Macaca mulatta: one gene and its partner. The main gene of each other region encodes a partner of the protein of the gene in region 2 in a complex. Links are inferred from orthologs where the notes say so. Each region holds a gene or a part of one and is shown on either strand. Other genes may lie near its edges.

Region 1 (2,733 bases), on a different chromosome or scaffold from region 2:
GCCTGGGAAAGCCTTAAATGGCAGCAAGGTTAAAAATCACACTTACAGTTGCAAGATCCGGAGTGCTTTACTTCCAGCAGCACACCTGAGGAGCAGGCAGCTTCCTTCATGGCACACTCACTGGCATAAGTGGCATTGTCACTGGCACAGACAGGCTCATCCGACTTACTGTCAGGGCACAGCTCATCACAGAGGGAACACCGGCCTCTCCCAACCTTGAAATCCCATAAACATTTTTTCCCACCAGTGCACTGGATATCTTCACAGGACTTTGCTTCTAGGATATAATACATCTGTGATGAGTAAACTGATTTCCCCATATCCCCCTTTTCTCCCTTTCTCTAGTCCTCTATCAATAAATATAAACATAATTTATATCTTATTACTAATGGGGATAATGGAGATATTAAGCAAAAATGCTGGATAATAAAACTGAAACTCAAATGCATACACACATACACACACACAAAACCTCTGCAGTTTCTTACATACTACATTAGTGCATTAAAATAGTATTTTTTTAGAACAGGATTTTACAATATTCTTGAGTTAAATATGTATCTTATTATTTCCCACAAGTGGGATCTTTTACAAATGAAAGAATTCCATTAATTACTAGAATCTGATAACAGATTTCTGGAACTGCTAAGTAATTATTTTTCGCTTCCAGCAAGTCTGGCACTTAAAAAAATGTGTAAAATTGAGTGAGTTCTAAGTTTTCTAAGATGGAATACTGTTTCTTGCTTCCTGCTGGCATTTGAATATATGTGTCAATGCCTCCAGAAGACAACGGTTTCCATGAGGAATGCTGTGGTCATAACAGAGCCCAAATTGCAGCATATTTCTCCCTATGGTGTTTTGGGATGCCTTGGGCTTACTTATTTGTTAACCCCACAGTTTAATACTAGAACTAGCCTGTTTTCTCTTTTTCCTTCCTCAATCCGGAATACCTACTGATACACTTTCCCTCATAGGCTAATCCAATAGATCTGCCCAGCAGGCAGGTAGCCTTTCTCAGGTGGCAGGCACTGGAGTAGGTGACTCCATCATTCCCACAGAGATATTGCTCAGAGGAAGTGGGCTCTGGGCAAATCCGATTACAGGTCACACAGTAGGCATTATTGGTCTGGTCCACCACACATGTGGAGCTGCCTGGACAGAAAACATCCCGACAAGTCTCTGGAACAAAGAAGGAAACACACATGAATAGGTACCTTCTAGTGCTTAGGGAGCGAGCACTTGAAGTTACCAAGGCAATCATGACACTGAAGCATCCAGCTTTCAAAAGGCAATTTTGGGAGCCCTGTAGTTTCCAAGAGAGAATCTATGACTCTAGGTTGGTCCCCTCAGTGTTCTTAATGAGTCTCTAGAAGTTAGAAAAGGACTCCTTTTTGGTTTCAGTATTATTATTATCAGGCTCTTACTGTGGACTACACCATCCCCCAGAGGTCTCCTAGAGGGTCTACTTTAGGTACAAAGCTGGAGGAGGGGACAGATCCAGTCTTGCTCAACAGGGTAGGACCTACTTTTACATCTGCCTTGGTACTGGACTTCCAGTTCTGGCTGCTCTTTACATCTTGCCTTTAGGAGTGCACATTCATTGCGGTAGGTTTTCCCGTCCAGCCCGCAGACTGGACCCTTCCAGGTGATGTTGGAACAATCCGGGGCGCAGACGCAGCGGGGTTTGTTCTTCTTGTTCATTCGGCATTTTTTCCCAGGTCCACAGTCCACGTTCTCACACGTTTCTGTGAGTTGGAAACAGGCATGGATTAAAAACCAGAGCCAGGCAGTCTGCAGGTCAGCCAGGAGGGCTTCGGGTGCCTTGCGCAATCATGCAGCCCTGAGTTTGCGCTGGAGGGGCCCCAGGCTCTCTCCTAGAAGATTGGGAGTTGATGAAAGAGTGCGGACCTTCGGTTGTGCCCCAAACCCAGATTTCTCTCATCAAGGGGCACAGGTTGGTGGGCTTCACCACCACACTTGGCTAAGAAGTCTGGGGTGTTTTACCTACAGCCTGTAACAGGCAGAATTCGAGTCTGCACGGCTTACCAGGGCAAGGGACAGAAAGGGGAAGCCCACGAACAAAGCTCTCCTACTCCCAAACCCCAGTCAGGTAGTGGGGAAGCTAAGGGTAAGACGCCCTCTACTGAGGGCCTGGAAGTCGGGAAGAAGGAGTCCTACCTTTACAGGGGATGCAGTTGGGGGCTCCCCCGTTGAAAATCATCCACTTGAAGAGTGTGTTGTCATTCACGTCCTCCTCGGTCCATGAGGTGCTCAGACGGCCGGTGCTGCAGCACTCCTCCTTGCTCAGTTCGGTCTTGTACAGGACCTGGCAGCGGCCGTTCTTCGCTTGACGGAGCCAGCAGTTCCCAGCTGTGAAGAGACGGGGTGGGGAGGTGGGTGAGTGAGCAGTGAGCGGTGAGCGGTAGCAAGGCAGGGAGAGCGAGGTGGCGAGGTGGCGAGCGAAGGAGACCTGGCGGGGATGGGGAGGGGGTGAGCGTGGAGGAGGGGAAGTGAGAGAGACGCGGGAGAAAAGTAGGAAATAAATCGAAAGGGGTGGAAGGGTGGATAAAGAAGCGGGGGGGGGGGTGGGGGAAGCCCTGATCACAGAGATGGGAGGTGGGCGAGAGGGAGGGAGGGAGAAAGGGAGAAGACAGGGCGCCCCAGCCATATCAATGTCAGTTACCAGTGACCCAGACACAACACGTGCAGCTTGCACTGACTTTTACTAGACTG
Region 2 (4,351 bases):
TAATACCAGTAAGCAACGGTGACTACGTACCAGCACATTCTATGTGGCTCACAAAATTAACTGAGCTATCCCTGACAACAATCCTATCTACGAAGGGGGTGCTATTCTTATCCATATTTATTATACTAATCGGGGAACCAAGTCATTTGCCCAGCAGTTTGAAAATGGTGAATCCTAAATTTGAACCCAGGCAGTCTGACTGTAGGACCCATACATTCAACCACTACCTTTTACCTCATCTTCAAATGGTATTTTTCATACTTCAGAGCACTGAGGTGCCTGTGCCCTTGGTCACCGGGAGGCCATACTTGCTGCACCCGTCTGGACCATCAGGGTCTTCCCCAGTCAGAGGCCACTGCCAGGGCCAGAGACAATGGAGAATTATTTAGTTTCCTACAGTTCTAGAAACTGCCTCTGTTTCAAGCCCAGGAAGAAGGCGTTCTGAGGAGGACATTTCTTCTTGGGACAAGGACCCTTGGTGAGATTTGGCCTTTATGCACCTCCATCTGAAAAGCTAAGCTTCTCTCTGGGAATTCGAATTGAAGGTTAGGGATGATTGCTCAGATGGGGAAAGTGTGAAATGGTAATCACTTTCATATGACACTCGAGAAATGTTATAATAAAGCTGAGTAAATTGGAGCATGAGTTAGCCGGTCCTTTGCCTAATGATGTCACCCACTTTGTGCTTCCTCCAGCCTATGATTAATAAAAGAGGGGTTATGACAGTAACTCACTCCTAGTGGGCAGCAGTGACGTCAGCAGCAGCTGAGCAAACTGACTACATTTAGTTGTGCGTGTGTATGTGGGCATTTTTTTTTCCTGTGACTAACATGAAGCTAACAGCATCTAATAAAACAAAAGCTCCTTGAAATTTGGGAAACTTATTGGGTGAACTCTTTTCTACAGGGAGCACCATTTTAATTATTCTCAGCTCATAGTTAAGTGATGTTGGAGTTGGCCAAAATTACCTTGTTGGCTTTCTGCCCCTGTTTCATTAAGGGATCACAAATGAACCCCTGGCCTTTGGGAGAGAGGTTTCTGGAGTGTTTTTTTCCTTCTACTATAGAGGCTCCTCCCTCATTCATTACACTCTTCCATCTTTTAAGAGGAACTCAATGAGTAGAAGAGGGATTGTAGCCATAAGTTATTTTTTGAGAGTTTAAAGCTGGTTGTAGAATTCAGTGATTCCATTTTAAACTCTAAGAATATTGTGCTTAATTACAGTTTGCTTTTCCAATCTGATAAAGTGACAAAAGTCCTACTTACTATTTCACCTTTGCGAACTTGACCTTCCTAAAATTAGAGTGGGCCACCTGGAAATATTTGCTCACCTAGCTGAGCTGCTGCCAGTGTCCACGCGAGCCCGCAGGACTCGTGAACAGCGGCACTCAGACCATGCCTTGGAGCTGCTCCCACAGAGGGCAGAACCTTTGGACTCTATTAGGACACGAGGGAGGCAGCAATTCACTGATTTAAAAAAAAATTCACACAGGACTGCCCCCAGGCTTTTCTGTGGGGCTTTTTTCCCTCCAAGCAGTGATTTGGGAACAGGCTGTGGGGGGATCTTTGTGGACAGGCAAAACTGGATGCAAAGCAAGATTGCTGCCCTCTTATCAGTCCAATGGAATCTACGTGCTAAACCACCATGTCTTCAAGTCAGCAATGGAACTTATTACCCAAGGGGATCCAGGTGAGAAAAATGATTACAACAATCTGTTCCGTGTTCCTTGGGGAGTATTTTTCAACAATCTTCTGGGGCAATAGGAAGATAAATTGTTGAAGCAGATGTTTCCTGATTGGGTTAGAACTGAGTCATGATAAACAATTTTGAAATATATATTGGTCAGGAAGAATGTTGAGGGCATATTTCTTCAGGTTGAGTTAGTCTGGGTTTTCTTCAATATATGTTTTTCTATAGTGGTTGTAAACGAGTATTTCTCTCAATATTGAATTTTTTTACATGTACCACTTGGTTACTTCTTGGGAAGAACTCCAGGCATTTCTGAATCATTTGAAAGTTGATTGAGGCCTTTGGTTCCAAAATGACCATTTACCTGAGGAGATGGTGATTCACAAGTTGGAAGAGATGACACGGCGTCAGAGTGTCTAAGACATTCCCCTCATAGCTCCCTTCATCTTAAAATGATCTCTGACCTACCCTTTCCTTTCTGGAGGACCCAAGTCACTCAGGAGGTAAGTGATGAACCAGGGAAGTAAGCCCTCACTGTCTGGACAACAGGATTTCAGTTCTAAGCTAGTTTCATCCAGGCAACTTCCTTTTTGTGCATTTCACCAATACTTGTTGATTACTCTTACGATTTTCCATGAGGTGGAATCCTTCACAATAGTTTCCCCAGTCCTCACAGGAGAGCAACACCTGGAAGGGCTGGAAGGGCATGGCCTTCCTTCAACAGCCACACCACTTCCTTTTACAAAGGAAGTTTGGAGAATATAATGTTGCTTGCAACAGCCATTAGGATTTAGCAAAACACTGTTTTATCTCTTTGGATATTGATTGTATGTCATTCCCCTAAGGTATTAAACAAATAAAATCAAGCTACAACATATTCGTTTGCTCTAGGAGAAAGGCAGGGTAATCTTACTTTTGTGAATTTTACTTCAGGGAATTCTCTCTTGCATGGATTTATCTGATACTGAATTGCTAAAATGAACAACTCAATCCTTTATTCATTTATTCTTTTGCATGAGTCTCTTGTCTCCTAACAACTTGGGTGTAGGCCAGCCCATCTCATTTTGTTGCTGGCCACCAAGATTCTGCTTTGGTTTAGAACAAAAAGCCAGCAGGAAAATGTATTGAGGCCATACATGAAAGTTGGTTGGAGCAACAATGTTGCCCAAGAGGAGCATTGTAGCTGTAGTCTCCAGTAATCAGAGAACATAAGATGCAAGAGGCAGCAGAATCACTTGAATTATTAGTATTTTGTAGAGTTGCAATGTTTTTCTTGGTTCCCAAGGCCTCTTGGAGATGGATAGGGAGAAGGTTGAGTGAACTTTACAATTATAACATGAAATCAGGGTATCTCAACTGCAGAACAATTAACACTGTAGGCCAGATAATTTCTTGTTGTTGGGGGCTGTCCTGTGCATGGTAGGATATTCAGCAGCATCCCTGGCCCCTACCCACTAATGATCAGTAGAACCTCCCTCCCAGCTGTAACAACCAAAATGTCTTCAAACATGGCCAGATGTCCCCCAGGGAGCAAAATCGCCCCAGTTGAGAACCACTGCTGTAGAATGAAGAGTAATAGGTTACTTGCTGGGTTTTTTTCCTTCTTCTCTTTTCCGCAGTTGTTTTAGTTCTAGTATCTGGGTTCCCTTGCTTCAGAAAACAGCATTTCCAAATACTCTAAAAACAGAGTATCCCACTGTTTTTGTGGAATATCCCACGAAGCAGAAGGCCTTGTGGGATATTCCAGTGGTTCTGAAAGAAATGTGAAGCTTAGGAGTCAAGTTTCAGATTAACCATTTCTGACCCTGTTGTTCTCAATGAATTTCAGGGGACTTTTTAATGTTTCCCTCTCTCTCTCTGTTTAGAGCTATTCATTCATTGACTTAACTTGAAAGCAAAACAGCTTCCCAGTTCAATTTTGAATGTGAAACACTGCTTCTCCTTTGTCCCAACTCTTTCTACCTAACATTCAGCCCAAGTTATGTACAGGCTGTGGCTGTCCAGGAAACAGGCCGTGTTTGCCAATCCCATGTTCAATGTCAACCATTTGATGAGACCCTTCTTCATCACAGACTCTGGCAGTCTCCCTGCAGCAGATAGTACTCTGGATCCTGACCACATTCTCTGGATTCTGAGCTGCCTCTTGAGGGAGTCACCCCTCACCAAGAAGGCCAGGTTTTCCGGCCTGAGCCCCAGAATAACACATTAGCTGCTGGGAACACCTTTTGATTTCTCTCCATAGTCACGTTTTATGTTTGGTTTCCCAGACGGGATGAACCAGAAATCATGCGTTTTTGGAAACAGATTTTTTCATAGGAAGGAACGAAAACACCCGGACTCGTCAGCACTCTTGTCCATGCCTCTGAACCCCCAGCCTTGTGTCATTTCAGTTGAATCAGAGAACAACATCCCAGTCACCTGCTTGGGGTGTTCACGTCTCCTGGCTTATATTTTTGACTGAATAACAGCAATCCGTGAGCAGCAGCTAAAATAATAGAGCCCTGAAAAATGTCCCCACCCACCCCCCCGCTCCGCTTTTCTGGGCCTGTCTCCTTGCTCAAGGAGTAGTGAGGAAAGACACCAATTAATAGCGTGGATGAAAGCTGAAGGACAGACGGTTTGCTTGAGAAGAAAAGTGAACATTCTTGCTTCCTCATCTAT

The links.
Region 1: the proteins of INHBA (region 2) and FST are in contact, whole or in part, in a crystal structure (PDB 2P6A), measured with the Homo sapiens proteins. The link is inferred for Macaca mulatta from reciprocal best matches to the Homo sapiens genes INHBA and FST. Residues at the interface, in NP_002183.1 of Homo sapiens: Asp315, Phe327, Asp337, Trp338, Ile340, Ala341, Gly344, Tyr345, His346, Gly360, Thr361, Gly363, Phe368, Thr371, Arg397, Ser400, Leu402, Tyr404, Asp405, Asp406, Gly407, Gln408, Asn409, Ile410, Ile411, Lys412; in NP_037541.1 of Homo sapiens: Trp33, Arg35, Val44, Leu45, Arg60, Phe76, Met79, Asp135, Glu152, Pro154, Glu155, Val180, Val181, Asp182, Gln183, Tyr188, Val190, Arg221, Thr224, Cys225, Arg229, Ser230, Ile231, Gly232, Leu233, Glu328.

What each region holds. Positions count from the first base shown.
Region 1 is NC_133411.1:61,276,996-61,279,728, reverse strand, and holds part of FST (follistatin), read right to left. Parts: intron 2,371-2,733; coding exon 2,179-2,370; intron 1,746-2,178; coding exon 1,527-1,745; intron 1,180-1,526; coding exon 955-1,179; intron 278-954; coding exon 47-277; intron 1-46. UniProt on the Homo sapiens protein: Multifunctional regulatory protein whose primary function is to antagonize members of the transforming growth factor beta (TGF-beta) superfamily including activin, myostatin, GDF11 or bone morphogenetic proteins (BMPs).
Region 2 is NC_133408.1:86,728,343-86,732,693, forward strand, and holds the start of INHBA (inhibin beta A chain), read left to right. Parts: upstream 1-1,466; 5' UTR 1,467-1,690; intron 1,691-1,988; exon of another isoform or gene 1,989-1,996; 5' UTR 1,997-2,193; intron 2,194-4,281; exon of another isoform or gene 4,282-4,351. UniProt on the Homo sapiens protein: Inhibins/activins are involved in regulating a number of diverse functions such as hypothalamic and pituitary hormone secretion, gonadal hormone secretion, germ cell development and maturation, erythroid differentiation, insulin secretion, nerve cell survival, embryonic axial development or bone growth, depending on their subunit composition.